Linked DNA regions of Schizosaccharomyces pombe. The protein of the gene in region 3 purifies or fractionates together with the protein of the main gene of each other region. This does not show direct contact. Each region holds a gene or a part of one and is shown on either strand. Other genes may lie near its edges. The genes, in order: gtb1, mod21, gfh1 and alp4.

Region 1 (8,353 bases), 1.1 Mb from region 3:
CTCAATTCTTCAAATAGAAAAAGTATAATTTCTAAAACTTCCTCTAGACTTCGTCCACCTTCACGAGTCAGTAATGTGCCCTCCGTTCCTCAGCACCCCTCAACTCGTAGCAGGACAAGCACTCGTGAAACCACTCAACCACCTTTCACCACGAATCCGTCCAATCGCTCAAAACGAACTACTTTACGATAGTTTTAGGGATTTGAAGTTTATTCTAAAATCGTTTGCATTAAAAAAGCTACACAAGTAATTGTAAACAGCTTTTTTACTCATATCATTTAAATTATATTGTTCATTCCACACTTTCAACTTTACTTTCAATACCCAATCTTTTTAATTACTAAGGCTCCTAAACTTATGAGAAAGTACTGAACTATCTTTATGTTAGAATTTGTTCAGGAAAATGCCTATATTTTAAAACCTATTTTGTTTTGAAACATTGACGTTAAGCGTTTATTTTATTTATTCTAAATTTTCTTTTTTGTATTGGAAAACCCCGAGGTTCTGCTAAATGACGGACACCGCGAAGTATGAGAAAAGCAGTGCTCGCTGCTGGATATGCTATGAGGAATACGACAAAAAACTATGCTCCCTTTCAAATGATTCTTGGAGACGTCCGTGTCGGTGTTCACTCATTGCTCATGAAAGTTGTTTGATTTCTTACATTACCAGATCTGGCAGTACTCGTTGTCCTCAATGTCTTACCGCATATAGAATTGCTAAACCGCCAAAGGAAAAGTCTTGGGCTGTAAACGTTCTTGGAATCGGTCATTCCCTTGAAGCTGGTCTAGCTCAAGTAACGTTTGGTGTAGGTTCTTGTTTAGGTATTACCAAGTTTATTTATTCAATATTCAAACAGACTGGAATATGGATATGTAAACAGGTGGCAGATGAAAGCAGCCTGATAGAAATGTTAAAAAAGCCAGTTTTCTCCTCTGTCGTATTGCCTTTATTACCATGCATGTTGGTTCGGTTCTACGAAGCTCCGCCTTATGATATAGCATTTAGTCTCTACACGCATTTTTCAATTTATAGTTGCGCGGAAAAGATTTCGAATACCTCACTTCTACTGTGCACTCTGCCTTGGGTAAGATCTTTATATAAGGAACTAATGACCCGTATATTTGACGGTATTGTAATTGGAGCGGACGGGGAATTTGAAGATTCTGAAACTGATTGGTTTCGCCAGTTTGAAGCACAAGTAGAGCATCGTAACCAAGTCGAGGATGTAAACGAAAGAGAAGATACAGAATCTGAATTTTGGATTCTTTTGTCTGTGGCACACGTTTTCCTTGATGCTTTTACTACGAAAATTCTCCGTATTGTTCGACCGATTCTACTATTCCCATTAGCAGGGAAATTTTTGGGAAGGTTTATTCCAGGGAATTTCACAAAGTTAGAGAAGAGCATTATTGGTGCCTTTGCTGCATTAGTTTTTAAGGACATTTTTGTCTATGGTTTCATTGCTTGGAGAAAGAGAAAACCCTGGAGCATTCGAATTCTCGACAATCCTCGTAGAGTTTCTGACTCATAAGCAAACAATGAAGTTGTCAAACTGTTAAGTTCCGGCAATATTTCTTTCACGCATTTACTTTTTAAAAATACTCATGAACTTAATTTAAGCCTTTTATTACGAGCAATATTCTAAAACCGTGTTATCGATTTATTCGAATCCAAAAATAAATATAAAGATGCTGATAGCATTAATAATTTTTATAACTTATAAAATTTCCAATCTGGAATTATTTTTCTTTTTTATGAAGCTTCCGTCTCCATCTCTTTATCTGTATCAGATGATTTTTTTGGCTGGGCGGCTGTCGACAGTATTTGGTCGTCCACCGTACTTTTTGATGGGGTTTCTGTGTTTAGGGAATGAAATGAGTCAGTTCTTCCTGATGAATTTTGATGTTGAGGGGTAGCTTGTGTCGAGACGGAAGCCAATGACGACGGTGTCCCAGGAGCTACGCTGGAAGCATGAGATCCGTTTTTTTGGTCGATTGGAAGGGCTTGTTTGGAAGGGTTTATCTTTTTGTATAACGAGTCGATTAGTGTCAACACTCCTGCATTGTTAGTGCTAAGGCTATAAAAAAATATATAATATACCTTTAACGTCTTCATAAGAAACTTGAGACTCTTCCATCCATACCGGAAGCCCATCAGTCGTAGTAGAGAGATTTATTTCGTTCTTTTCTAATGCAAATTGGAATGCTGCAGCAGCTATAGTTTTCGGAGAGTAAAGTAGACATGCGATACTTCTAGTGCTATCGTTAATGTATGTCCAAGCAACCTTAGTGACATTTTTATCATCAGCCACGAATTTTTTGATAAAACTTAGGACGTAAGGATATGGATGTTCAACCGTAAAGTCAAAGCATAAAGCTTCTAACAGTACTTCCTCTGTGTACAAGATAACATCTCTCCACCGCCAGTATTCTTTGGTTTGCTCGTCAACCAAAACATTGCTGTTTTTTTGAGCAACCTTTGCACAGTTAATTACAATATCGCGAAGTTTACGAACGGAATCCTCAACCTTGGTTGCCAAGAAAATGCAAGTAGCAGCAACTTCATAATAATGATAATTTTTGAGTGAGAATCGAAGATAAAATCGATGGAAATAGATGTTAGCAGTAGCAAGCGCAGTTTGAGGTCTGTTATTATTGTTAGTTTCATTAATTTACTGAACTGATACATCGTAATTAACGTACAGTTTTAATCTCAGCCCGACATTTATAATGAAATTGCATCCTTTAGATCTTTGAATTTCTTCTTGATCTAAAGGTATCCCATCTAATGCAGATGGAGTAAATACCAACTGATCTTTACTTATTATCCACTGAGAAGTGTTTTGAGAGCCCGGGGGTACAGATTTTATTACTTCACTCATGTGAAATTCATCGATTTTATATATGAGATTACCGTCGCCAAATTATTAAAAACAAACTATAATTGAGCAAGAATAAGCAAAATCAAAGAACAGTAAATCATTTAGTATATAATTAACATACCTCAACTAAAGAATGCGAAGAATGGAGGGTGGTTACTATCTTTCAGGGGGAAATCTACCACAACGATGCTTGTCCATTTACGTTGATTGAATATAGTGATTATTAGAATAATTCGTAAGTCAGTTTTAACGATTTTGACGGTCTCAACGATTGTTTAATTTTAAGTCTTTGTAAGATATTCAAAAAATCAACTGTATACTTATAAATCGTTCTGCTAATCTCTTATAAACAACTCTTTTTTAGGTTAAAGCCGATACCAAAGAGATGAAATGAACTTTTCCAAATGATTGATGTTACCTACTTCATCAACAATTGCCTAATTCTTGACAGTATATTGAATACGATGGATTAAAAGTGGTAATCATTTTGAAAGGGACCATTTATGCAATAATATCATCCTTTAATTGTAGTGAACATAAAATACTTAGTTACTATTTAGACTAGTACTTTTTTTAGAAGAGGACTTCGTTATCCATGAATTAAGAAGCTTGTTGCGCTTCAATAAGCTTATTCACTTTGGCTGTTCTTTTCCGTTTTATAAAGTGTTTCTTACACGAAATAACTACTTGTATGCATTCAATTTCTTGCTTATAAGTTTTTTGCTTGTCTTCACAATCGGTGGAACTTGAGCAAATTTTCAAGTACTTAAATAAGAATTGGCTGTTGAAGGTCAATTAATTAAGTGTTGGGTTTGCCTTGATTTCGATAAATACCATAAAACTTGTCTATATTATTTATTTTCTGTGTCAAATTTTAATGAGCCTTTCCTTCTCTATTTTTTTAATTACCAAGTCTATCATTTTCATTTAATTTTACAATGTCATCAGCGAAAGTAAGGTTCATACGAATATGCATGAGAACCTAAGCGTCAGTCACTAACCCCTTTGTTATAGTATGTAGTGGGCAGCAAACCAACGGAAAAGAGACCCAAGGATATAAAAAGCATTAAGTCTGTGCCGATATGTGAAAAACATAGGGCTAGTGTAGTAAAAGATATCTCTCGCAAGATCTCTCGAATTCAAAGTGGTACGTCCTAGATTGTTTTATTAGCAAATTTAATTAACTTGCTAAACTTGATTCCGCTTTTATCATTTCTGTGTATTCTAACCATGAATAGCAACGTTGCCTGAATATCAAATTCGAGATTTGAACGATGCAATTAATCGATTGATGCGTGAAAAACACGAATGGGAGGTACAAATTCGTGATCTGGGTGGGATTAATTATCTGTATAATAAAGCAAAGCTATTTGAGGATGAAGGAGAACAAATCAGTGATATAGACGATTATCGTTATTACGGAAGAGCTCGAGAGTTACCTGGCGTTAAGGAACTTTTTGAAGCTGATATGAGTTTTATACCGGAAAGACAGCGCAAACAGGAGATGCAGAAAAGAAGGTTAGACGCCTGGTACTTTGGTTACATACCGCCAGCACAAGAGAGTCTATTAGAAGATTTTGAGGCAAAGATTGAAGAACAACAACATAAACATCTTGAGAACCTTGGTGATGAAGTTGAACAAGATTGGAAACCTCTTGTCATTGAGCAAATACCAACTAGAGACGATGTTGAAGCCATTCTTTTAGAAAGGCGTAAAAATGCTTTGCTGAGCAGAATTTCATAGATTATGAAGTAGGACTAGGATAGGAGAATTAATTTTATATTTTAAGTCTGCTTTGACATCGTAAACTATGAAGGATTTTTTAAAGAGATAAATAATTGGGATCTTCACAAGCTTCGTATTCATTGATCAAGTCGGCAACGACGTCGCTGTCAAATACATTAGTAAATTAACTCAAAATATGAAATTATAAGACAAGATACTTACCGAGAAGAATCGAATTCGTTAAGATCATCTTCGAAAATAGCCTCCTTTTTATATTGCTCTAAAAAGGCATTTCGTTTCCGCAAACGATCATATTGATCTAGTGTTCTCTTGAATAACTACAAAGATTAGTATTAAATGTCTCAAAAAAAAATTTGCAGAAACATACAGAGGCAATACTAGTGTGATTTGCAAGCATAAGTCCACTAACACGGTGGTTCGTTTTTATATAGGGCGACTTTTTAGAAAGTGCAACTTGTATACTTGCTGGTCCCCAAGGAATGAATGAAGCGTATCGTCGTTCTCTTATGCGAAGCAAGGATTTGTGAACGTCCGCCGGATCTGCTTCTCCTTGAATGATATCCAAAATACTAATAAAGCAACTCTTTTTGCTAGGATTGACGGAAACCATCTGGTTTTTAGGCAACAACAACCTTCTCATCACATCAAGCACGGTAGTTTTCCGAATGGCCTTTGCTTCTTCCACTTGCTGATTGGTAAAAGGAGTGTATGAGGTTAGTAAAAAGTGACAGCGAGGACTTGGAATTAATGAAGCTATTATACTGACAAGATCGTTGTTCATGTAGCCAGGATATCTTAAAGTTGTTGTACTGGCAGACATAACAGTTGAAACCTAGAATAGTTAGTTGATGAAAAGACCTAATATAAATCAATTACCAATTGGTTTTGTTGATGAAACGTAGGGTTCTGAGTATGTAACCGATCAGCAGCAATATGAGCAAGTGCTGCATTGTCCAACACAACAACAGAATCAGCATTCAATGTCAGTCGCTTCAATGCAAGAAGACTGTTGTAAGGCTGAACCACAACATCTGATACGGATTGACTATTAGGGAATACTGAATAAGTTTGGATAATCTTCTTGGGATAACGATCGTTTAATCTCTCAAGCAAGAAAGAGCCCAGCCCAGAACCCGTTCCACCAGCGATAGAATGTAAAAGCGAGAAACCCTCTAGAGAATCACTTCCATCAGCTTCACGATCTATCATGTCCATTATATCTTCAAAAATCCTCTCAGCATGCGAATAACCATTAGCCCAATTATTGCCAGCACCTCCTCCATTTTTGGTAATAAGTATATTTTCGGGATTATAAAGGCTGCCGTAGGTGTCGCTTAGAATATTGTTGACCACCTAAGGTAAAGAGGACATTAGTCACTTGAATATTTCAGCAAATACTAATAAAAGGATGCGATAACATACTCTTGGTTCCAGATCAATCAAAATGGCTCTAGGAATGTATCTAGTATCATCAGACTAAAATGAGTTAACATGTTGAAACTTTAAAGTGTATCAATAAACCAACCTGGTAGAAAAAAACGTCTTTTCGATCAACACCCTCAGTTGCGAAACTTTCTAGCGTGCCATCAGGCCCAATGCCATGTTCCAAACACAACTGTTGCCAGAATTGTGAACCAACTAGACAAGTTTGTGAGTAATTAGAATTTCGATTTGATTAATAGTAGTATAGGTGAACATACTTTGATTACCACATTGACCAGCTTGTAACGTAATGATTTCTCTGCCCATGATTAAACAATGAAGGAGCAAACAATCTTTGATGTTTGCTTCTTACTTAAAAGTACAACCGCGAAAGATTTTTTGCTGAAATAGGTGGTTTTCAAAAGAAGGGTATCTTGAGGTATTTCGCTGTGCTTGGGTGAACTGTAGGTCGATAAGAGAAGGTTGGTAGTAAGAAAAGCAAACATTTTCCAGGTCAACTAGACTAGATTATTATAAATAATTACATATTTCTTGACTATAAATTTATCAACCTTGGAGCTGATTCGAGCATTGCTGCAAAATTCAATTAGGAATGACAATTTTTCTAACAGGAAATTAGAAAGCCAAAGTAAGTGAATTTAGAATGTGTCATAAAATTTAGTATTGATTACTATCGTATCTAAATATTTCTAAATCATTTAGTACATTATTTCGTAAAAAATATATGCAACTTTGAATGTAAATATTAAAATTGAAAGTAACACAATAGACACAATTTATGAGTGTTCGAATAAAAAAATAATAGTGATATAAAATTAGACAATTCATGTGGATACTCAAACACTGAAACAAATGATTTTCCAAAAACTAAAAGTATTTTTGAAGACAATTTTATCTTAATTAATACAGATTGTAGAAAATGAAAAATTAACAAATAATTATTTGGCAAAGGTCTAAATATTTTACAAATTAATAAATAAATAAATTAATTGAAAGTAAAAAAAAAAATTGAACATAAATTTTTACTGAAATTATAATTAAGCTCAATAAGGTAATACCACACAACAACAGTTTGATTTTAATATTTATTTAGCAGGTGTAACATTTTTTTTTATTAACAACAAAGTTGCGAGCTTGTAAAATTGGGTTTTAACTTAAACCAAGATTTATTAAAAAAAGAATGTAAAGAACGACGACATATTTACAATGTTTGGAATTTAAAACTTAATAATAGAAACCGAATATCAACATTTTCTATTTCAAAAAAATACTGAGCATTTCTTAATAGTTATGCATATATATATACCTTTTAGCAAATGATTCCAACTAGCTCTTGTAGCTCAGTGGTAGAGCGCTTGCCTAGTAAGCAAGAGGCCCAGTGTTCAAGTCACTGCTGGAGCATAATTTTGATCCTTTTTGCTTTTTGCCCTTCAAAGGGCAAAAAACAATACTTTTAAGATAATACATAAATAATCTATCACTGATACCTTTTTCTACATCCTACTAATTTATTTGTAGATTAAAGTAAAAAAGTAGTTATACGGTTCCTTGTTTTTGTCAAATAATTTGCCTGTGTCCTATATCTTGTTGCAGTGCATATTCTTTTGGATGGAAGAAATCCCACTCTTAAAGTTAGAAAAAGGTTTCGCTTCACTTTCAACTTTAAGATAAACAACATCGGCCATTGGCAATCTCGTCTACTATTATTTTAAACAAAAGGTAGCAAACCATTACTAGGTGTTGTAACTAACGCAAACTACTTAATCGTTTGCTGCTACAATCGCCCCATACAATGTTTAGATACCTATACTGTTTAAGTATGAGTCTCAGCCATTCTATGCATAACCTTTACAAATACGAAATTTGAAATATTTTTACTAAATAGCAGCAAAAATTTCTGTCATTTTGGTGGTATGTTGACAAAAGACAATGGCAGTATACTGCGACATATCCTTTTTTTAACTTTAAAAGCAGCAAACAAAGGAAAAAGAATGTGAGACTGATTAAATAAATAAGATTTCTTTTGATAAATGCGATCCGACTTTTCTTCCTTGGAATTTTTATTAATTTTACGTAAATTTCTCTTGTTAAAAGATCGTGTTGACCCAAACTAAGGTCTGATGTCATTATGAAATAAGGTCAGCTGGAAACATAAGTAGGACGGTCAGCCGCGCTACACCTTACTTTCAACCTACTCATTCTATTAGTATTGAGTTTTGTAAGTTAAAATGTCTCATTTCTACGACTTGGCTCCTAAGGACAAGGATGGAAATCCTTTT
Region 2 (7,823 bases), on a different chromosome or scaffold from region 3:
CCATACATACGAAAACGCGGGTCCCGCACCATGGCTTCCGTTACCTTATCCCCAGATTCGGAAGCATGACATGATTTCCGCTATATGCAAGTTTGGAAATGACGCTATAAAAGAAAAGTGAGAGTATATATACCGTTCCGGCAATTCCCAACGGTGCGAGAATTTTTCAGCTGATTTTCTACAATATATCGGATCTTTTTTTTTGTTTTTAAAGTCGGTATCAGGCCATTTTCGGTCTCGTGTATTTTCGTGCCAGGTGACTTGCGATTGTTTGCAGTGACCTTATTCTTATTGCTATAGCGTTATTATTGTTGAACGACACTAACTCATTGTTTGCATTCTTTGTGTATTCAAAGAAATAACAAGCAATCGTTTGGCTCATCATTTCATCCTTCTTCTTATAACACTCGAGAAACGTATTGAAGAAGACCTCCTTTTCCTCATTCACAGTTAAGTTTTTCTTAGTATCATACGTACCTACTTGTTCCAAGTACTCTTTTTGTGCGACTAAGCTCTTTTATTTTGTTGGCAAATCTTTGTTTACCAAGTCGATCCGTTGAATCCACGTTTTTTCAACTCCAAGCAGAGATCGAATCTCGTTTCCTTATTTCTCGATATCGTCAGGGATATTGTTATTTTATTTTTTCATCCCGTCCATCCATTCCCACGGTTTTTCTGTGATTGCAGTCTGTACAGTTTAACCCCTTACATACTCCTGGAACCTTCGTTTCTTTTTGTTTCAGCTTCCGTTCCTTATTCCCTTGCTTTGGAATAGTCTTTTTCTTTTTTCTTCCACCTACCCGCATCCCCTTCCTCGCTTTTTTTGTGCAAATATCACAACGCAGTGAGCGGGCTGAACTCATCCGTATTTTCATTTAAAGAACTCGATACCAAATTCTTAAACTTCGTCCGTATTTTACGGTATTATTTGTTTTCGTTACTTGCTAGTCTCCGCCATTTGTACCCTGCAAATCTCAAATACGTTTTCATTATGCCTGACTCACCTACCCTTCACCATAACCATATTATTGGGCTTGAGAACGGGTCTCTAACCTCTAACAATAATCATCAAGGCATGGCATCTGTTTCGGTAGGACAATTTCAGTATCCCATCTGGTGAGTTTGTCGATATTATGCCTCCGCTAAGCTATTTAACTGTTTTCCATGTTTGCCATAGCTTTGCTCACTAATGTGCCTACATAGTGATGCGTACGTGAATTTCTCTTCTAGAAGATGCTTGCTTTTTTTCCACACAAATCAATCAGTATATATTTTTCGTTTATCCTTGTTCAATGCCTTTCTACTTCCGGCGCTGTTTATTTTGAATTTTCTGAAATTTTGACTGTAGACCAGCCACTTTCTGTTTTGAGTTTTCTTTGTTTTTGACACTCTCCTACCAGCATACCGGTCTTTGTTGTCGTCCTTTCTTTGCTTACCGTTGTTACACTGTCGCTCGCTATATCGTTCCGTTCAGCATCCTCTGTTAGATATTCAATTGATAAAAAGCGGATCGGTATTTCTAGTTTTCGTTGTTGTTTTTTATCATTCCGTTGTTTATTAAGATCTCCACCATGTGGATGCTTAACGGTTCGTAAAGCGAGCTCTTAGCCAATCATTTTCGCTGACGGCCCGATAGACTCGGCAGAGTAGGTGGAATCAACAAGGGTGAAAATTTCGTTAGGTTTACTGAAATTTTTTTCATCCAAAACTTTTTCATCTCAAGTTAAACTCTGTGACTTTTTAGCTGATGTTGGATTGCTGGTATTACTGATTGATTGTGGAATGTTCATCTCTGGGGTGTGTCTTTTTTTGAGGCACATCATGTGTTACTTTTGTGTGTAGTCGTTAAGTACTACCAAACATGAAAGCAAGCGTCTGAAAGAACAATAGAAATTTCACTAGTTTTAATGCGATTGAGAGGCTTTCATGTTGATTTTTACTAACAATTTTTAGGTCATGGTTAAATTCCCTGGCAGATGCCACATTCGGAAAGCGGCCATCTTCCTTTGAATTTATCGTAAACAAAACCCGCTTTTCGTCCGCCCCGGTCGTTGCAACCATCATCATATCTTACTATCTTTTAATTCTTGTCGGAGGTAGAATTATGCGTAATAGGCAACCTATCCGTCTTCAAAAGATTTTCCAATATTATAATTTGACTTTTTCCATCGCTTCAGCTATCCTTGCACTTTTGATTTTTGAACAAGTAGCCCCTGCTATTTACAAGCACGGTTTTTTCTTTTCTATCTGCAATGAGAAAGCATGGACTCAACCGCTGGTATTTTTATACTACTGTGCTTATATTTCAAAATTCGTACGTCTCCATCGTTTTTTGACCATACTTTTTTCATTCTAACATACGTTTTAGCTTGAATTGACAGATACTTTTTTCCTTGTCCTCCGCAAAAAACCCCTTCAATTCCTTCATTGCTACCATCATGGTGCCACTGCCGTTCTTGTATATACTCAAATTGTTGGCAGAACTTCCATCAGTTGGTTGATCATTGAAATCAATTTATTGGTTCATGTTACTATGTATTATTACTACTATCTTGTAGCCAAAGGTATTCGGGTTCCTTGGAAGAAATGGGTCACCCGCTTTCAGATCGTTCAGTTCTTTGCTGATTTAGGTTTTATTTATTTCGCAGTATACACGGAGGTTGCGTATCGGTTGAAGTTTTACAAAGCCTGTATGGGCCATTGCTCAGGACATCCTTTAGCGGCGTTCTGTGGTCTCGCAACAATCTCTTCATACCTTGTTTTGTTTATCGTCTTTTACCATAACACTTACAAGAAAAATGCTGCTCTCAAAATGAAAGCTAAGGCTGCAGCTGCAACAAAAGGTAACTCATCAGAATCTTCTAAAAATGCGGACTTAAAGCGTCTCTCAAAAAGTAACGCTTCTATTGCCGAGGTTAAATGCAATAATATAGTTACTAATCTGTATCCTATTTCTTCAGGTTTAAACAATGAAAAATAATGTTTTCGTGGTACCTCTTATGGTTTTTAATTACCCGATTTTGCTCTTACTTATAACTTGATATTGAGCCCTAAAGTCTACAAGTGCCTTTTTTTTCTTTGTTCTGCTTAACGTTGCATTTAGAATTACCAATTAATAGTTGGAGTGACTTACGGGCGACGATTTTGTGAATTTTGAAAGTACTTAATTGTCCGTTAGCTTTACATCCTTGTCTATATTCGATTACTACCTTTTATCCAGTGAATCCTTTTTCCCATTCCTTAATCAAGATTTATCGACGTCTTTACATGTTCTAAACTTTTTAGCTAAACCTCTACTAAGTATAGATTTGTTAACTTCGTGGTATCTTAAGGTCAAACTTGATGGTGTGATAATATAATTAAAAAAATCAGAGCCAAAATCTTTTCTTCAATATAATGTTCTGAATCTTTTTTTCCAAAGATTAAAAGTCCATTTGTTTAATATTTTATATTAAAAAACCATGGTAATACTAATGCACAACTTATGAAAAATGGGTATAAATTAGTAAGAAAATATACGTTCTAATAACAGTACTACAGTTGTGTAAGGTTGGTAAATTTCTCTGTATAACTTGTAGTCATTGCAAGTGAGCATACGGAATTCATTATTTATTTTGAAGTTTTCTTACTATTTCAGTTAGGGAGCGGCGCCGGTTAATCTAATAACAGTAAATACGTTTAAAACAAAATATATTAGTTTTTTTTTTATTACTATTATAAATGACTTACACAGCTTAACGGCAAATAATGATTAACCCCCTTCAGTCATAAATTGACTCAACTCATTTCTCTCATGTCAAACAAAAATTTTCCTTCATTCGCGATAGTATACGAAATATACACTCCTTAATCGGCATTTTAGCAATATCAGCACATAATAAAGAACATATGAGAATACAGGCAAAGCTTAATAAATGTTTTATCAAGAACTGTAAATGACAATGTCTCGTGCGGATCAAATCCTACAGCATCTCTTAAGGGAACTAATACATAATGATTCATTAGTTGCTAGTGAATGGTTAAAACATTCAAAGAAAATCATTCAAAATGTCCCTAGTTCGACATTGGTATTTCATGAAATGATAGAACATATAAAAGGGTAACGTAAAGCAGATCTGCCGATTGTTGTTGGAATGTTAAGACTAACTTGATCTAGCATCTGTGACAAAATGGGTATACAAGGTCGGGAAGATTTAGAAATGCCTTTACGAAACGCTTGTGAAGTTCTCAATCGTCAAACCGTTAGTGTCAAGCAAAGTATATTGCATGCCCAAATATTAAAACTTTTCCTTGAATTATCTAAACCACCCTCAGATATACATGTCCCACAAATTCCCGTCTACAAAGATTGCAACAAGAATGAACAAGAAGCTATAATCCAGTTATTAACTAGTTGTGAAGGAGACCACTGGTTGATGCCTGACTGGTCTTCAATGCCTGATGATGAAACCATAACAGAAGACTCTGAGGAAGAAACTTTCAATGGAAATGCTAATGAAATTACGATACCAGCCAACATCCACATCCCTATCATCGAGGAGTCTGACAACGCGTCTAACAATAAGCTATGTACTTTATTTAAAAAAAGCAAGCAACCGAATTTAGATTTTTTACAGATAAAACCCTTTATGTTTTGGGATTCTAGTTTGAACGAAACTGTCCGAATATCTGAAAGAAGTATTATTCGCGACTCTATATATATGTTGATAGGTTATCCAAGTTTTTTCTTCTTAAAAAATGGTTCAAAAATTGAAACACGACTTTCTTTATTACCAAAGCTTCATCACATGAGCGAAGAGATTCTTCGCAGTATAATGACAGAACTTGCCGATTACGGTTCTAACTTGGAATTTTTTCGACAAAAACTAACATCTCCTAGCGATTCGTTTTTTAAAAGTGATGACCAAAGTACCAAGAATGAGCCGTTTCTCTCTGTTGTCTTCATTTATCCTCAAATAAAACCACATCTCTTAAGTTGTTTAAAAAACACACACCAAGAGCTTATTAAACTCGAAACAGAAGTTTATAACGCTACAAAGAACTGTACTCTTTTTCAATTTTTTCAACATGTAAAAAAATTCGTTGATCCACTATTGTGCTTTCGTTTCGCTTACGAAAAATCAGCAACGAATATGTGGGATTTTGTTAAAACATTGGAGTTCATATATTCAACAAGGAATTACTCTTCACAAATGTTCAAGCTCTATAAAGCTTCTGCTATTGCAATGTTATTGTGGATGGTTAATCAAGCCTCACAAATTACCAGTTCTATGACTATAGCCAGGCCTCTATATAACATTTTAATCCTTTGTAAGGATTTTCCTAACAATTTCCTTGAGAAAGACAATATTGCTCTCCAATTGGGTAGTATTGTTTTTGACCAATCTCCAACTCTAAACAATTTACTTGTGGAAATGGAAATATTAATTAGAAGCAAAATTTTAAAGCTTGGTAAATCTTTGGATTTATCTTTTGACTTTCAAAGTTTAATGGGGGAGTTTGAAAATTTAATAAAACAACAAGAAGAAGCTAAAAAGTCGTTATGGTCAAAAAGATTTAGTCGTTTCTATTATGGGCATTATGTATTCGTCAACACCTGTCATAATTTTTTCCTAACACTATATCAATCTTTTACTGAAGTTGATGAAAATTCTATATTCAACGGCGTTTTTGAAACGCTTAATAATGATGTTGATGATGAATCTGTAATAGGGGAAAAAGAGAAACTTATTTTAAAGCAAAAGCAGAAATGTTTATCTGAATTTTTTGTTGATGACATAAAGAAGCTCTTAAATGAAGAGCTGCTCAATTGTCAAAAGCAAGAGCTACCAGATGTCATGGAAAATACATATCAAATTTCGACCGTTTCAGGAATTAAAAATGATCCGTTATTTACGTTGGACCAAACCTGTAATATAATAGCGAAACTAGCGGACAATCTCATACATCCTTCTGTTCCCATTGGTAGTTCTGCCTATCGATGTAGACGAAATTTGGCTGACTTATTATTCCTTATAATGCCATGATTACGATAAAATGCCATAATATTTACCATTACGTGTATAGAATCAATAGATTTCATAAAAGTAACCTTTTGGATGAGTAAAACCATACTGACTTACATGCGATTTCTCTAGTTTCATGTCGTTTACTAACGAATGATATTTGAAAAAGACCTATATCTATTAAAAAAAATGATAGTGTGCTTTAATGAAGGTAGAAAATCATTAGTCATATTTATTTGCTTTGGGTGTTGCTGATAGTTTGCATCACCCATAACAAACACGAGTCCTTTTGAAGAGGCTCTTTAACTTCTTCTTATTCATTCGTAAATCCAAGGTTCAATTGTACGATCGTAAACTTGGATTTCCGAAGGCTGGAACCAAAGTTTAATTTCACGATTAGCGCTTTCTATGGAATCAGAACCATGGCAAACGTTTCTACCAAGGTCGATACCATAATCACCGCGAATAGTGCCAGGGGCAGAATCCAGAGGGTTACTGGCGCCCAACATTAAGCGACCAGTTTTCACGGCTTGTTTACCTTCCCATATCATGGCACATACAGGGCCTGATGCCATGAAACCAACGAGTTTCTCATAAAAAGGCTTTCCTTTATGTTCGGCATAATGTTCTTCCACAAGATCACGACTAGGAACTAAAAATTTTAGAGCACGTAGTTTGTAGCCCTTCAACTCAAATTTTGAGATGATGTATCCAATCAGTCCTCGCTGAACTGCGTCCGGTTTCACAGCGATAAAAGTTTGTTCTGTCGACATATCAAAAATGCTTATACTCGGTGATATGAGGTGGTTGAGTAGATGGGAGCTGTCCCGTCTACTATCCCATATAAAGGATTACGGAGCAAGGACAAATAACACTCACAATATGATTGCATAAACAAAGCGGAAACAGATGTAAATAATAAAAAATGATAAGAATCGTTATAGTACACCTTCTTATATTTTTAGAGCACCAAGCCTCAGATATCTTAATGGTCGTAAATTATTGTTTACAAAAAATGCATATTTACAAACACATTACAAAGCATTCAAAGCGTACCCGTAGACGGTAAGCCAGTTTTGTTTTTTTACATACGTAAAAACTCTCCACAAATCAAAAGATTGTAAGGCTTATTGTATACTATATAATGGATTTGTTATTATCCCAATCGCCAACTTCTTACTGTTTTAGGACCATGTAACGAATGAAACCACTAATAAAAGTTAGAAGAACTTGTAATTGATACCAACTTAGTATTGGGATACCTGCAAAATTTGATTATCAACCAGTTGATAATAGATACAATTCCAAGTACATCTACATCACTTCATGCAAACGGTTTTTTCCGTACATATATTAGTTATCCCTATACATATAATTGTTAACATTGTCTTGATATACGAATAAGGCTTTTATGATTATTCCTAGAGTTTTATCCTTGTTTGCGAATTTATGTATATTCGTAATGGCATATACTCGAAAATCCGGGATTTAGATAAGCTTAAATCATTATATGTCTATCTAATGAGCATGACAGCCGTCTCACAATTTTACTCATAAACGGACGAGGGATAAGTTGTTTTTCTTAACAATTCAGTTGTAGTATCATCACTTTTTATTTACATTCTTTTCGAGCGCTGTTTATCTGCACATTAAGTCACCATTGTACGCATAACCATTATACCACCAAAAACGCAAAAAATATCAGTTTAAGCTGTAGGTTGTTAAAAAGAACCGTTTTCCTTTCAAAAAGGTTTACCTTTAATATTTATTATTGATATTAGTGACAAGAGGCACTGAATATCAGTTTTGAGCCAACTT
Region 3 (7,531 bases):
TACCTCTATAATAATATTCTGTTGATGGCTAATATTTATACCAATTTTACAAATTACATAATCAAATTTATTTCTTTTTAAAATTCTCTTCTATTAGTTGGCAATGCTCAAGTTTTGCCTTTTTTTCCTTAACACACATTTGAAGGGAGACGCTATCTTTTCTCGACAAACAAGCAGATGACTTCCCTAAGTAGATTTTCTTCTTTGAAATCAGCTTGGCCATCCGCAAGTTACGTTTGTTATGAAAAATACGAGTAAATATTAAATTAAAGATCTTAGTTTTTATCACTCGCGAATATATTCAGTAGCCAAACGATTAACTCTTTCCAATTTTTTCCAGTCTATTTATCGATTCCAATAGAACAAAACAAATGCTGAGATTTTATTAATACATATATTTGATACTAATTTATCAAGCTGCATTGAGACGAAAGCATCTTGGTAGTACTAGAATCATTGTTACTCACATACTGTTACCTGCTTCTTATAACCTCCAAATCAGCGAAATTCCGCGTCTTCATCATAGCCAAACTTATGCTCAATTGCCTCGTTTGTAAATTAAAATATATTTAACAATAAGAAGGACGATAAAGAGGGGATTCTTCTATACAATAAAATTGCTTTCATTTAAATTAGGTCATTGATGATTATTAGTTGTTGCTTTTAAAAATTTGATATATTCACGGACAATAGGATAGAACCATTTAAAACGGAAGCTAAGAATCTTTCCAAAAGTCCAAAATAATTTGATTTTATTGAAAATTACTCGAAAACTGCTGAATTTGCGAATTTGCCTTTATTGCAGCAAATTACCGTATTTGAATACTACACTAGCTTAAAATTATTGAGTTCTTTTTTAGTTTTGAAATAAAACTATAAAAAATCAAAATGTCGAGCCCAAGGCGCAGAATTGAGACGGACGTTATGAAGCTGCTGATGAGTGATTACGAGGTAACTCTTGTCAATGATAATATGCAAGAATTTTACGTTAGGTTCCATGGACCGTCTGAAACCCCTTACTCAGGTGGAATATGGAAAGTTCATGTTGAACTGCCAAGTGAGTATCCTTGGAAATCTCCAAGTATTGGATTTGTAAATCGTATATTTCATCCCAATATCGATGAGCTTAGTGGAAGTGTTTGCTTGGACGTGATAAATCAAACTTGGTCTCCAATGTTTGATATGATTAATATTTTTGAGGTTTTTCTTCCACAGCTACTCCGTTATCCTAATGCGTCGGACCCTCTAAATGGAGAGGCAGCAGCTCTATTATTGCGAGAGCCGAATACCTACTATGCCAAGGTTCGAGATTATATCGCTCGGTATGCTAATAAAGAAGACGCTGATATAACTTTGAACGACTCTTCAGATGATGACACCATGTCTTCTATTGACACTGAATCTGGCGATGAAATTGCTGGTCCAATGGACTCTGATTTTTAAATTTCGTTACGTTGCTTTGTTTGATATACATTGATTCTTTTTTGAATTCTCTTTATGGATACTGATTGTGGCATTCAATAAACCGATGGATAGCTAAATCTGTTACACTTTTTTTTCTATTGATGCATTGAATGATTCTTTTTGCATGCTGTCGCTTGCAAAACCCGTTTGAATTTGCTTTCAATCAGTAGTCGTGACAACGATATTTAATAGGTTTATTTTCTTGAAGCTTCAAGTTACTGCAGCATAATTTACGACTATAACTCCATGATGCATAGTTAATGAGAACTAATATTTAAATAAAATAGAAAAAAAATATTAAATAAATACATTGATCATATCTACCTATAAATTAAGCTGAACAATCAGCGCGTTAATTATTTCCCTATCATACGATGGATCATTTTCTTTCTGTCGTATGCATTCAATCGAATGAGATACGTGAGCAGCTAACTGACAGTCAACTTTCGAAACTTCTTGACTACGAAATAAAGAAAGCTCATGGTAAATCGAGTTTAAAGAAATGTGTAAATCATCATCGTAAAAAAACAACATTTTCTTAGCGTAAGTCAACGTTAAAGCATGCAATTGAGAACAGTCTTGCATACGTAACTTTTGTGTTCTATATAACTCAGTAAGAGATTCCCGTAATTTACAATATGACGGCTTTATAACACATTCGTAGGCATAATATTGTAAAGATGATAAGAACCATAAAGTCACCCACAATTGAGTCCATGGTTGAGAAATACCTTTGGCAGTATACTCCTTTCTTTCGTAAAAAAGGGATTTGATTTTAGTTATACTTAAGTGTAAAGAACCTAGTAGTATCCATAAATCGGAATACACATTTAAAGCATTTTTATCCATAAACAAATTGAACGGCCATTTTAAACACAATAACAGTTGCATATTGAGTCCCTCTACATCGATTTTACGATTCTCAGAGCGAATCATTTCATCTTCTTCATCAAAGATACTTACAAGTTTTAGAAAAGATACACATTCTCCATATTCAGTAGCGAGATCAAGTAAAGAAATAGTTTTCCTTAAAACAACGGGTAAAATATCATCAATTACTACCCCTTGAACGTCATTTGAACTGCAATATTCACCACGAACGTCTCTGAACATTTCAGATAATGTTGGAAGAAACTCAACATTTTCAAGTAACATCACCATCTCTAGCATTTTTACCAAATCGAAAATCTGATGAAACGAAGCTAATTGAAATATTATTTTTTCTGATACCAGAGTGAACATTTCATCTGCTAATTTTGTCACTGAAGATTTCGTTAAAGGCAAAGGCATTTCATATACCAGTCTGTAGAAACATCTAAGAATTTCACAGAAAGCGTCTGTGAAACATTTTTTTGCATTGAGCATACACGTTCGTATTGAAACTAAGCAATTAACGATGTCTTGGGTCAAAAAAGGGACATTATTGCTACAAGATACAAAATCTTTAGTATCACCGCATAAAAACGAACATTTGAAGCTGTCATCGCCGGAATCATTTACCAAATACTGCACTAATTCGTCAAGCCAAGTCTTCTGAAAAGCACATTCACACTCTAAAACCAGCTTTTTAAAATTCAAATGAGTAGAGCCCATATACATATTATGCAGCTTTTGAAACGTAGAAGCTACACTCAAGCATTGAGAAATATTACCTTGAAGTACTAGCAGACTAGATAAAGTTTCTTTCCAATCTGCTAAATGCGCTTCTAATTGCGCCAAGGATACGAATTTTCCGGAACCTACAAAATAAGGATCGCTGGATATAATCATCCGCTCTAAATTAGCTAGACTTTCATCATAAAGAAATAATTTTTTCGAAAGCAGAAGTCTAAGAGCTTTAAGAAGAAACTGGTTTTGCTGAATCAAATCTTCATCAAAAATTTCAATATATCGTTCTATCCTTTTCCTTTTACTTGCCAAAGATACTATGTCATTAATTAATTCTCGTTCACCAGGGTGTAATGGTTGAACAGATGGATGCAGTAGTATTTGACCATTTTTCTCAATAAACAGGCCAGAAGTATTCCCTGCGAGCAACAAAATAATCTCATGCAACATATAATGTATTTATTGTTACAGAGTTTGCATGAAAATATTCAACATATAGCCAATTTAAGTAAACTACTCCAAAGGAGGCTTTCGTAGTAAATGAGATAAATAGCTAAAACTTATTCGTGTTACTTTGAAGGTAACGACTAGGGAATGTCTTGCGTTGTTACAATGAACAATAATCAATGTAGCATTGCATATAATTCAATTAATATATATATATATATATATATATATATATTATTTTGTAATAACCTAGTAGGTACTGTTTATCTTAAACAAACAAAGTCTCAGACGAGCGAAGGTTTAACGACATTAATTTTGGGCAACAGGTAAACACAACACTTTAAAATTGATTAGAAGGGGGAGGTGGTCCACATGGCATGATCATTTTTTCTAATAGGTTTTTGCGAACTTGGACTCTCGGTTCGCCGAGCGCCGTTGCCATATATGCGAGCAACGGTGGATGCCCCACTACAGAAGACAAAGTATCCCGGTGCTGATTTACCATCCATTCACTAGTTTATATGGTGAGCGAAAATTCATTTGTCAAATAAACCGATTAGTACTTACTATTTGGTGGTAAACGCATTACCGACACCAACATAACGCGCTTGTAACTGTTCTAGTTTTGCTTGAGAGCGCAACCTGTCTGCCTACAATCGTTAATAAATGAAAGAAGCATAGAATAGAGATAATTCAAGAATTTTTTTCTTACCATAGTATATATTGGAATATGTGGTATAATGTTCAGACTGGGTTTTTTTAACACATATTGTTAATTGAAACGAATAAGGTATAATACTGTAATTTGCAATTCTAAATTGCGATTTCTAGCGCACCAAAGCAACCACAGAAATAAACGTTTCAAAATAAACATTGCTATCCTTTGACCAAAAACCTGTAGTTGCAGTTTTTTGATAATAGGGAGCACTACACTTGAAGATGTCTTCTCTTGCATCTCAGGGTAATAATGCTTCAACTCCTGCATATCGTTATGGGTTTCAAACTTCAGAAGTTGGGGACAGGCCAACTGTAAGTATGCCTTCACAACCTGAGTCGAGTGCTATGCTCGAGGATGATGGAATGGTGAAAAGGAAACCTTTTGCTGCTATAGGAGAAGCCATACCAAAGGTAATTGATACAACCGGAGAATCAGTACGTGAAGCCTTTGAAGAGTTTTTATTGTCATTTTCTGATGACCGCGTTGCTGGAGGTGATGCTCTCCCTTCTGCATCACAAGAGAAATATTATGTTCAACAGATTCATGGATTGGCAATGTATGAGATTCATACCGTTTACGTTGATTATAAGCATTTAACCTCGTACAATGATGTGTTAGCTCTTGCGATAGTTGAGCAATATTATCGATTTTCTCCTTTCTTACTTCGAGCTTTACAAAAGTTGATTGAAAAGTTTGAACCAGAATATTATAGAAGTTCTCTTTCTCGTGAAAATGCTTCACTTTCACCGAACTTTAAAGCCAGTGACAAAACATTTGCTCTTGCATTTTACAATTTACCCTTTCGATCCACAATTCGGGACTTACGAACAGATCGTATCGGTAGACTCACGACTATTACAGGTACAGTTACTCGTACTTCTGAAGTACGCCCTGAATTAGCACAAGGTACTTTTATCTGTGAGGAATGCCACACTGTAGTTTCAAATGTTGAGCAAGCATTTCGCTATACTGAACCAACTCAATGCCCTAATGAACTTTGTGCTAATAAAAGAAGTTGGCGGCTCAATATTTCACAGTCTTCTTTTCAGGACTGGCAAAAGGTGCGCATTCAAGAAAATAGCAACGAGATTCCTACGGGTTCTATGCCACGAACTTTGGACGTAATTTTGCGCGGAGATATTGTTGAAAGGGCTAAGGCTGGTGACAAATGCGCATTTACGGGAATTCTTATTGCCGTTCCAGATGTCTCACAGCTAGGAATTCCTGGTGTAAAGCCAGAAGCTTATCGAGATTCTCGCAATTTTGGTGGTAGAGATGCAGATGGTGTGACAGGACTGAAGTCTTTAGGTGTACGTGATCTTACATATAAACTATCTTTTTTAGCTTGCATGGTTCAACCAGATGATGCAAATGATAAAAGCGGTGCGGATGTCAGAGGGGATGGTTCTCAAGGGATCGAAGAGCAAGATGAATTTTTGCAATCGCTTTCTCAAGAAGAAATTGATGATTTACGTGCGATGGTGCATTCAGATCATATTTATTCTCGTTTGACAAACTCACTGGCTCCCTCTGTTTATGGTCATGAAATAATTAAGAAGGGGATTCTTTTACAGTTAATGGGTGGTGTTCACAAGTTAACTCCTGAAGGTATAAATCTTCGTGGCGACCTGAACATTTGTATTGTCGGCGACCCCAGTACTTCGAAATCACAATTTCTTAAATACGTTTGCAATTTTCTTCCTCGTGCAATCTACACTTCTGGAAAGGCATCATCTGCGGCCGGTCTCACAGCTGCAGTTGTTAAGGACGAAGAAACTGGGGATTTTACTATAGAAGCAGGCGCTTTAATGTTGGCTGACAATGGAATATGTGCTATAGATGAATTCGATAAAATGGATCTGTCAGACCAAGTTGCTATTCATGAAGCAATGGAACAACAAACGATATCTATAGCAAAAGCTGGAATTCAAGCTACATTAAACGCACGGACATCTATCCTTGCTGCTGCAAATCCAATAGGTGGCCGCTATAACCGAAAAACAACTTTGCGGAATAACATCAATATGTCTGCTCCTATCATGTCACGGTTTGATTTATTCTTCGTTGTACTAGATGAGTGCAATGAATCAGTTGATAGACATTTAGCTAAGCATATTGTTGACATTCATCGTTTACGGGATGATGCCATGCAACCTGAATTTAGTACTGAGCAACTTCAACGATATATCAGATATGCAAGGACTTTCAAACCAAAGTTAAATACAGAATCTTGTGCCGAAATTGTTAAAAAGTACAAGCAATTGCGGATGGATGACGCGCAAGGTGCTGGTAAAAATTCATATCGTATTACCGTGCGACAACTGGAGTCAATGATTCGTCTATCAGAAGCCATTGCAAGAGCAAACTGTGTAGATGATATTACTCCTGCATTTGTCAACGAAGCATACTCTTTATTACGTCAATCAATTATCCATGTGGAAAGAGATGATATTGAGGTTGAAGAAGATGATGCAGAGGCCCAAGAACTTGAGAATGATAATACTAATACAACAAATGGCAATGATAATGTTTCTTCGGAAGAAGCTTTGCAGAAACCAAAAGTAAAAATTACTTACGACAAATATGTTTCGATTATGAACGGAATATTACAGGTTTTACGCCAGCGCTCTACTGAAGGTGTAGATGGAGTACCAGCGGGAGACCTAGTTCAGTCATATCTCGAGCTTAGGGAAGACCAATTCCATACCGAGGAAGACATCATCTATGAGGTTGGTCTTGTGCGTAAGGTATTAACCAGGCTTGTTCACGAATCGATCATCATGGAAATTCAAAATTTAACTGACAGCGCCGTGAGGCTTCCTTTTGAAGAACGCGTATTTTCAATACACCCTAACTGTGACATTGATGCTCTACTGAGCAATGGCGATGTTCCGAACTAAGGTTATAAAAGATTCGTAACGATCTCTTATAAGTTTTATCAGTGAGGCGTATTTTTGAAACAGACCTGACATTAATTGTTGAAGCACTACTTTAATTCACGAAATTGGTGTATTTTTTTTTTCCTCACTGCATACCGTAGAAACCCTGATTTGTTATTTTAATCTTTACACTCTTTTTTTGTACTTTTATTCACTAAATTTGATAATACTATTGGATCCTACCGAAAAATATATACTCATTTTCCTGATCTAGACATTTATCAGATTAATCTATGTTTATTTCAAACATATAACCCAGGTAAATTAGTATAGTGATACGTTAAGCAATGTTAATATGTTGAAGCATATCTGCTGAAATCCGTTCAACACCAAAGGAAGGGTGAGACTGTTCAGG
Region 4 (8,631 bases), 1.4 Mb from region 3:
GAGTGTCTAAGGACTTTAAAAGATATTGCTCGTAATAGTTGCTAGTTGTTCCCAGTTACGCTGGTTCCTATCCTTCTTCTCGTGTCGTAATTGGATCAAGTGCTTGAAGAGGCGAGCTGGAAGAGAAAAAAGAGCGAACGAAGCACGTTTTATATCAAGTTGGCATCAATTTTTAGTCTTAAAGATTCTGTGTTATCTTGCGTTAAACGGGTCAAGATAGGGTGATGATCCCCTTAATTAGCAAGACCGAACAACTTGGGACAACTTGGGATAACGGACTTTTGCAAGAAAATTAGGTGACCCAACCTGGTATCGAGGTAACAGCATCCGAGGTAAAACCGAATATGAGAACAAGTACCGACGAGCTTGAAGGGCGGCAGCGGGGCAAGCAAAAAGACAAGGTGGAAGATGCTGTGTTGAAGTATAGGAGGAAGTGAGATGAAGATTTTGTATTGAGATGTGTTGACGCTGTCTAATAAAGGAAGGTTGCTGACAAATAAGGCATGCTCTTGATTGTTTTATTTTTATTTTTTATTTATTTTTTTTTGTGGTTAATTGTTTTTTTTCTAACTCACTTACTCATCTAATCATTTTTTCTCTGGTCCTTTTTCTCTAGTTCCTTTTTTCCTCTAGTCCCTTTTCTCCTCTAGTCCTTCTTCTCTAGTGGTCTTCTCATCTTTCTAGTCTGGTATTTACTGTTTCACATGCAATAGTTCTAGTAGCGATGCAGCTATTCATTGCAAGCGACTATTCCTACAATGTAAACAGTGTAAACATTGTAGAGAGTCGCTGCTCAAAATCTTAGAAACGGCTAATACTCTTTTCTACTCTTGCTTTTTTGTTGATTTCTTTTCTATTGTTTTCTTTACTTTACTTTCTCTACTTTGCTTGTCATTGCTAGGTCTAGTCTTGTCGGGCGAAACAACCCAACAAGAGTAAATTTTCAGATGGTGACGTTGAAGACTGAGATCCTCGACATCAAGATTTGGGTGTGATAAACGAACGGACCCTTAGATGGATAGCGTATTCACACCCTAAACCCGAAACATAGGGTAGCGTTTTTAAGGCTGCCGAAAGGCGAGTCTACTATGGCCCCTACGGTGGATAAGATGGATAGTGAGTAAATCCAAAGGGTATTTGTCAAGCAAAAAAATAAATAAATAAAGCAATCAATAGGTGGTGTTGCATTCGCTAGTTTGCTTCATTTATTAATTATTACATTCATTAGTTTTTTATGTTCGTTAGATATTAAAAGATCATCAAACTCATCCTTCCTCTTATAACGTCTCTTTTTCTTTTTTGTTTACTCTTCACACTCTTGCATACTTTCATAATTTTTCCAACAAAACTTATCTTGTCAAAGCTCACCAAATTTTATCTACGAAATAATCTTTCTCTCTCTCTCTTCATTATCAGTTAGCTACATTCCATTTTCCTTCTGTCTCCCTACTTTCTCCCACCCCGATCATCCACCTATCCATCATCCTTCATCTACTACTGCTTACTATCCGTAATCTATAAGAAGTGTTGGCACTCACTAATCCTCTGAATTTACGGATACTGCTCTTGAACTCGTTATCGCTATGTTTCGAACGGCGACTCTCTTCCTAAACACTTTCTAGCAGGTGGTTTCGCGATCCCAATTGCTAAAACACTTTATTTCATTTTCCGTCCCCTGCTGCCAAGGAGAATTTCGGATCTAAATCGACGAGGAAGAAGAGGACGGTATTGCAAAATTTGAGAGATATTTACGTTTGTATGAAGTTTGAAGAAAAAAAAAAAAAAAAAGAGGATGAAAATTTTTCTAACATACAATCTTTCATCAAATCCTTAAACTTGTTTTAGTAGTACGCTTACTAGAAATCCTTTTTTAAATTTTTTTTTATTAATTACCTAGTATTTAGCTTTTTTTGTTTTGCTATTTTGGTTCTCATATTTTTTATCTTTAGTTCTATTTCTATTCTATTTGTTCTCTTCTATCCTTTCTCATCATTAGTCAGATAAAATAAAAATCTCTCAATTCAAATATTTCGATTTCAATACATTCGGCTTAAAATGTTTCATTCGGTTCGAAATGCTCTTTTATATTCCGTTCCTTGTTATCTTCCCCTTTATTTCATCTTAACTTACTTATCGTGTCCATTTGTAATCTGTAAAGTATATTTGCTAGTTTCTAATTATTTCTTTCTCCCTCTCTCTGTTTCTCTTGTTTCCTCTTACATGGTGGGGGATTGATAATTTTGGGCAATCCACTGTGAGATAAGTTTTCGTTTTTCTTACTCCTTGATGCGATAATTCTAAAGTCATATGATTCCTTTGCCTCACACCCAGCTATCGCCCCCATACTTAATCATACAATCTGTACTCACTTTTCATAGTAACTCTATCCTTTCGTAATAACCATCCTACACTAATCTAAATTGACGTTTTCCTTCGATATTACAATTTTTGTATGCGCTTTACTAGCTTACCTGTTCCTTTGTTTACGCATCCATTAAACTTTTAACTGCAAAATACAATTACTAGAAATTCATTACGAGTGCACACAAATGAATAGTTTTGCGTATACAATACTATAACCACCTAAATTAAACCTTGGTTTGGTTTTTATATACATACATCATCATCATTACTGTCGTAGCAACTGTACTTCTTCACATAACAAAGTTCATTACTATAGCTGTCTATGGTACAAACGTTAGCATACATTGTATCACTTCAAAATCAATCGATAGCTCTTTAGACTAGGAACAAATGCTTAGCCTCTCTCTTCGTTCTTCCTCAATCACGCGGCATACTGCCGACTTGCCTTAAATTTAGCGACATAGCTAATAAAAAATTAGCGATCAAAAATCCAAGTTACCATTCCTCAGGCATTATCAGCAAACCCTGTTTCAGACATTTTAAAAAATCGATTATTTTTTATATAACACAAGTGTTGGCATATTAAACGCTCGCCATGCCTTTCTCCATAATCATTCTTAAATTCATGGCCAATGGCAGTCGTCTTTTTGTCAATTTTTAACCGAATAGTGCAGTACGCTTTTAGTGTGACAACTGGCCAAAAAAAAGTCCAAACTACTGAAAATGGACCAATGTATACTGCGGATAAGCAATGCTTGTTTATGAAGATAATTGGCCATTCCGCAAGATCCTCACTCCAAGTCATTTCTTTATTAACGAGTACAAGCAACAAGATGTCAAAGATAAGGTTATCCAAAAACCGACTATATAAATATCCATAAAAGTTTTTCTCCCAATTTCCATTGCTGTTTGTCAGATGTTTCTTCATATCTCAATAAAACAATAGTAACGTTGTTCCATTTGTAGTTTTTCTACCTTGCCTTGTTTTATCTTGTCTCTTCTTAGTTATCCCGTCAATTTCATTACTAAACTTAAAAGAGCCGCCGTCTCAGTACTTGCAAAGTAGTTACAAGCATTCACTAAGGATTTTAAATGACGACTAAAACTGTCTTCGTACCGGCGTAAAATTTCTTCCATCTTATCCATTCTTCCTTCATCAAAGCTTTCTTCGGAATTCTCAAGCAAATATAAGGATCGGGTAAACGTGGAAGTATAAGAGGCAAACATAGCACAAGTATTAAGTAATTTAGATTGTACTTTAAGTAATCGCGAGTTAGTAAGCATGCATTCTTTTAGACACGTATCCAAAAAATCGATATGCTCCTGCATTAAATTATCCACAGTTCGGGCGTTCTCAAGTTCTCCCATAAATTTCCCCCAATGTGTTTCAATCACCTCACTTGTAGTATAGTAGATTATTTTTTGAACAAAACTAAGCATTCGTGTCCTTAATAACCAGCTGTTCCTTTTCCATTGTTCGATTTTCGCATTGGAGGAATTGAGACGCCAAGCACTATTCTTGCTGTGCTGCACCCAACTATTCTCAAGTTGCATTTCAACGTGACGAAGTAAAAGAAAATATCTGAACAAAAGTTGATATCGAATAATAGCTTTGCGGGATAAAATAAGTGAAAGGGGAAATGGAACTTTATAGCATAGTTGCATCGTTTCAAATCCATTAATATCTTTATCGCTACCAACTTTTGAAGTCCCCTGTGTGCTCCGATTGTGTTCACTCTCAAAATTTCGAGTTTCATTGCCCACATCCGCTTGCTTCGTGATTGATTCATTCCAAACTTCGTTTCCCTGAGATGATGTTCCTTCTTCCAAACCACTGATACTTACAATATGCATGAGCCAGTCTATTAATGATGTTTGATTCACTTCTACAGTCACGTATTCTTTATGTGGATCAGTCGCAGTTATCGTACCAGGCTGACGAAGGGCTAAATCTAATTGCGACTGCAACTTCGTGATAGATATATACTTTGCAGGTTTTCGTAGCTCGTGTTGAGCATTGTCAAGAAATGTTGTAAAAAAGTCAGATTGATCAAGGAAAAAATAATGTTTGAGCGAGTACAGATGAGCGTAAAGAGACTGTGAAGACTGGAGTAATTGCAAGAGAGATTCATTTGCATAAACATAGGCATTCATGATATTTAAAGTAAAGTTATCATCATCGAAGGTTGAAGGCCAGAGCAACTGGTTTTGAGTATCGTCTTTTGCATTTAACGAAGCCAGGTTATTAACTCCCTTCCTACACTCTAAAACGACGTTCAAATACTTGCCTGCAAAGAGTACCTTGTTTTGTAAATCAAGCAATTGTGGAGGAACTTGATCCTCTCGAATCACGTATCGTTTTTCCCAATATTCATCTGTGTAGTCTTCATCAAGTTGCATAGATGTGATTCCTTTGTGTATTTTTATCATAAATTCATCATATGGGTCATTTACGAGCCCGAGATGGATCCACTCATTCAACATTTTTGTATAAGGGCGTGAAGCTTCGCGCAATAAATAGGTTAGGATTTTTCGTGCCACAGGATCACCCGCATATTTCGTAAGACTTTCGGTCAAAAAAGAAATGACTTGCCCACCTTTACAAACCTTTTTCTTAGACCTAGTGGCATTAACAACATGTGAAATGTCATTTCCTTCATTAAGTTGCTCTAAAAGATCGTCGATGTTACTAAGACCTAAATCATCGCTGCTGGAAGCATTCTTTTCCATAGACAAAAGCAGGTCACGTAGAATTAAATACACTTGTCGTAATGAACGCGATGTGGGAAGAGTATAAAGGCGAAGAGTTTGAAGAGAAAAATTTGGATCAATTCGGCTCTGATTTTCACACTGCATGATAAGTACCACGTAGTCCATCACAAACTTTCGCAAAGCAGCGCACAATGCGTGGTTAACAAATCCGTATTCAAAATGGCTTCTCGATTCTATAAAAGCTGTGATACTTAAATAATGAGACCCCATCTCTAACATCTCAGAAGCAATATCCTTTATACCTAAATCAAATCCAGGAAGAATATAAAACGATGGCGGCATAATAATGGTTTCAAACTCAGAGGATGCTTTCATGTCTTGGAGATGTACAAATACACCCTCCATGCCCATAAATGCATTTAAGAGTTCGTTTATGAGACATGCTTCCTGCTGATGGATATTTAAGTTCGAAGGATCGCTAAAAGTCTTCCCATCGTAAAGATAATTTAATTGAATCCTATCAGAAAATGGAGAAACACCTTCACTCTTCAAAGAGACATGATAAACGCTCCCTTCCTCGAGAGCTGGAATTGGACTCCCATTCTCGCTTTCTTCTTTAGCAAGCACCGAACTAATCGATCTCACCATTTAAAGAGTCTTTTTTTATATAATCTACAAAAGTGTGAACATTTATTTAATATTTAGTGCTCTTTGTAATTATTATTCGGATATGCTTGTTTACCAGCAGGCCAGTTTTAAGATGTAGGTTGGTAAGTATGCGCCAGCTAACAATCAACGCAATTTCAAAGCAAACCAACTCAGGTCCGTGTAGCATTAAAAAATGCAAAAAAGTATAAAAAAAATTAGTCAAAAAATACATAACTAGAAGACTGCAGCATTTTCTATTGTAAGACTACCGTAAACTCAAAGGACCCCAAATACTCATTCGAGTATATATGGATAGCAGTAGACAGTGACAAATTCTATATGCTAGAGTTTATTTTGAATGGATAAAAATTTTAGATCCTAAGCTTGAGGGATTTATTCCCTTCATCTTTTTTTTTTTTTTTTTTTTTTTTTTTTTGTTGTGTTTAAATTTTTTATTCTAATGCAGACTACTTCGCTTTATTTACTAGCCAGTAGGTAATATTTGCATAATAAAAGCAATAAATTTAGCTCGGTTTTATGTTAATTATACATTTACTTGTTATTTCTTTAACAAAATAAATTTTTTCAAAAATACATATAAGCATCAATGATTTATTTACAGATAAAATGCTTTTCTAGGGAAGCAAGGATTTTGTAGTCGCATGAAGCTGGTGGTGAAATCACAAACATTACATCTATCAAAGTGTATATTGGTTGTAAAATCTCGAGTTCATCTTTTAAAAAAATAAATACAAAAAAAAAATTTATTGGTAAATGCACATACATTAAATTACTACCTCAATGCTTTATGAACATGAAAAATCCATACACCTAATCACAGGCATTCATCTGCTATACACTTATTCCGACGACCTCTTTGTTACTATATAATATTATGATTAGGAATTTTTTAGCGATATATCAATAAAATGGTTTAGCGAGATATACAAGCACTTTTCACTTTTAGCTTAAGCTTCATTGTGGCTTTTGCTCGTTTTACATCATGTCAGGTTACAGGAGGTAACGACCTGCATTGATACCTTGAGCATGTAGGAAACTGAATATCCAACAAAGAAAGAGCATAATAGCTACAGTCTTGAGCCCACCCCTTTAATATCAAATTATAACGTGTAAAATGGTATGAATAACTTTTTTAATTAATCAAAAGCATTCTTTTGTATGAAAATACTAATTATGATTCATAGACTGGTGTTCATGAAGGGACTGTGTTGGTTACTGGCGGCGCTGGTTATATAGGTTCTCATACGGTACGTAGAGAGCTTGAAGATACAGAAGAGGATTAGTAATGTACATGTAAATGTTTTAAGCACGCATCTTTTGTGAATATAGCTTGCTGCTCTTTACTTTTATACAATTTCGTCCATATTCTATAAAGCTCTTTTTTGAGATATTTTGCTAACCACAATCTGCAATAGTGCGTTGTTTTGTTAGAAAAAGGATATGATGTTGTAATTGTCGATAATTTATGCAATTCTCGCGTTGAAGCCGTGCACCGCATTGAAAAACTCACTGGGAAAAAAGTCATATTCCACCAGGTGGATTTGCTTGATGAGCCAGCTTTGGACAAGGTCTTCGCAAATCAAAACATATCTGCTGTCATTCATTTTGCTGGTCTCAAAGCAGTTGGTGAATCTGTACAGGTTCCTTTGAGTTATTACAAAAATAACATTTCCGGTACCATTAATTTAATAGAGTGCATGAAGAAGTATAATGTACGTGACTTCGTCTTTTCTTCATCTGCTACCGTGTATGGCGATCCTACTAGACCTGGTGGTACCATTCCTATTCCAGAGTCATGCCCTCGTGAAGGTACAAGCCCATATGGTCGCACAAAGCTTTTCATTGAAAATATCATTGAGGATGAGACCAAGGTGAACAAATCGCTTAATGCAGCTTTATTACGCTATTTTAATCCCGGAGGTGCTCATCCCTCTGGTGAACTCGGTGAAGATCCTCTTGGCATCCCTAATAACTTGCTTCCTTATATCGCGCAAGTTGCTGTAGGAAGATTGGATCATTTGAATGTATTTGGCGACGATTATCCCACATCTGACGGTACTCCAATTCGTGACTACATTCACGTATGCGATTTGGCAGAGGCTCATGTTGCTGCTCTCGATTACCTGCGCCAACATTTTGTTAGTTGCCGCCCTTGGAATTTGGGATCAGGAACTGGTAGTACTGTTTTTCAGGTGCTCAATGCGTTTTCGAAAGCTGTTGGAAGAGATCTTCCTTATAAGGTCACCCCTAGAAGAGCAGGGGACGTTGTTAACCTAACCGCCAACCCCACTCGCGCTAACGAGGAGTTAAAATGGAAAACCAGTCGTAGCATTTATGAAATTTGCGTTGACACTTGGAGATGGCAACAGAAGTATCCCTATGGCTTTGACCTGACCCATACCAAGACATATAAGTAAACCATACTCTTCCTTTTCGGATTAAGTGGGTTTTAAATAATTTCCTTCTCTTTCTTGATTCAAATTTGCATAATATGTTTTAGGACTTATGGATTCAAAGACATTATAATGTATTGTTTGATGAACCCTTTTCCCTTTCCTGTACCTTAATTGTTTATTGTAAGTGCGCTCGAGCTATCGATTAGGTCGCTAATAATACCGGTTTGCGAATAACTTATGTTTTAAAAGGGATTTAACAATGAAGCTTATTTCAAAACAATCACTTTCGGTTTACATTTTTATTTCTTTCTTTTGCATACGCATTTTCGTCAAGTTGACATTTTTTCTAATATTGAAGTTTCTTTATATTTCACCTTTTAATTGTATTTTTTTATTCAAAGGTTCTACTTTGTCAATCATTTTCAATTCCTATTTCGATATAGCTTAGATTTTACAATAATACTTGTTATAATACTGTCTATAACTTTTA

The links.
Region 1: the proteins of gfh1 (region 3) and gtb1 purify together in Schizosaccharomyces pombe (affinity purification with western blotting, with the first as the bait; one study listed by BioGRID). This does not show direct contact.
Region 2: the proteins of gfh1 (region 3) and mod21 purify together in Schizosaccharomyces pombe (affinity purification with western blotting, with the first as the bait; one study listed by BioGRID). This does not show direct contact.
Region 4: the proteins of gfh1 (region 3) and alp4 purify together in Schizosaccharomyces pombe (affinity purification with western blotting; 3 studies listed by BioGRID, with this or other methods). This does not show direct contact.

Annotation. Positions count from the first base shown.
Region 1 is NC_003423.3:2,789,497-2,797,849, reverse strand, and holds gtb1 (gamma-tubulin Gtb1), read right to left. Parts: upstream 6,500-8,353; 5' UTR 6,381-6,499; coding exon 6,332-6,380; exon of another isoform or gene 6,270-6,331; coding exon 6,157-6,269; exon of another isoform or gene 6,108-6,156; coding exon 6,054-6,107; exon of another isoform or gene 5,985-6,053; coding exon 5,508-5,984; exon of another isoform or gene 5,464-5,507; coding exon 4,999-5,463; intron 4,949-4,998; coding exon 4,833-4,948; intron 4,775-4,832; coding exon 4,708-4,774; 3' UTR 4,629-4,707; coding exon of another isoform or gene 4,123-4,628; 3' UTR 4,032-4,122; coding exon of another isoform or gene 3,899-4,031; 3' UTR 3,838-3,898; coding exon of another isoform or gene 3,823-3,837; 3' UTR 3,666-3,822; downstream 1-3,665. Other genes in the region: SPOM_SPBC32F12.07C (MARCH family ubiquitin-protein ligase E3), read left to right, coding at 512-1,534; P-TEFB-associated cyclin T Pch1, read right to left, coding at 1,756-2,060, 2,104-2,648, 2,706-2,884; protein Cwf12, read left to right, coding at 3,823-3,837, 3,899-4,031, 4,123-4,628; H2O2 scavenger glutathione peroxidase Gpx1, read left to right, coding at 8,303-8,353. UniProt on the Schizosaccharomyces pombe protein: Tubulin is the major constituent of microtubules. The gamma chain is found at microtubule organizing centers (MTOC) such as the spindle poles or the centrosome, suggesting that it is involved in the minus-end nucleation of microtubule assembly.
Region 2 is NC_003424.3:246,883-254,705, reverse strand, and holds mod21 (gamma tubulin complex GCP5 subunit Mod21), read left to right. Parts: upstream 1-3,779; 5' UTR 3,780-3,935; coding exon 3,936-4,099; exon of another isoform or gene 4,100-4,156; coding exon 4,157-6,026; 3' UTR 6,027-6,127; downstream 6,128-7,823. Other genes in the region: fatty acid elongase Elo1, read left to right, coding at 992-1,116, 1,954-2,314, 2,369-2,980; nucleoside diphosphate kinase Ndk1, read right to left, coding at 6,323-6,778. UniProt on the Schizosaccharomyces pombe protein: Component of the gamma-tubulin complex that is required for the regulation of both interphase microtubule organization and nucleation, and mitotic bipolar spindles. Required for correct septation.
Region 3 is NC_003423.3:3,879,924-3,887,454, reverse strand, and holds gfh1 (gamma tubulin complex GCP4 subunit Gfh1), read right to left. Parts: upstream 3,606-7,531; 5' UTR 3,523-3,605; coding exon 1,789-3,522; 3' UTR 1,728-1,788; downstream 1-1,727. Other genes in the region: ubiquitin conjugating enzyme Ubc8, read left to right, coding at 889-1,443; sap10 (splicing factor 3B), read right to left, coding at 3,860-4,031, 4,087-4,169, 4,232-4,234; MCM complex subunit Mcm6, read left to right, coding at 4,459-7,137. UniProt on the Schizosaccharomyces pombe protein: Required for proper anchoring of astral microtubules at the spindle pole bodies (SPBs), during anaphase, ensuring correct cell polarity.
Region 4 is NC_003423.3:2,521,154-2,529,784, reverse strand, and holds alp4 (gamma tubulin complex GCP2 subunit Alp4), read right to left. Parts: upstream 5,725-8,631; coding exon 3,370-5,724; 3' UTR 2,651-3,369; downstream 1-2,650. Other genes in the region: UDP-glucose 4-epimerase Uge1, read left to right, coding at 6,860-6,862, 6,930-6,992, 7,161-8,162. UniProt on the Schizosaccharomyces pombe protein: Component of the gamma tubule complex that is required for the regulation of both interphase microtubules and mitotic bipolar spindles.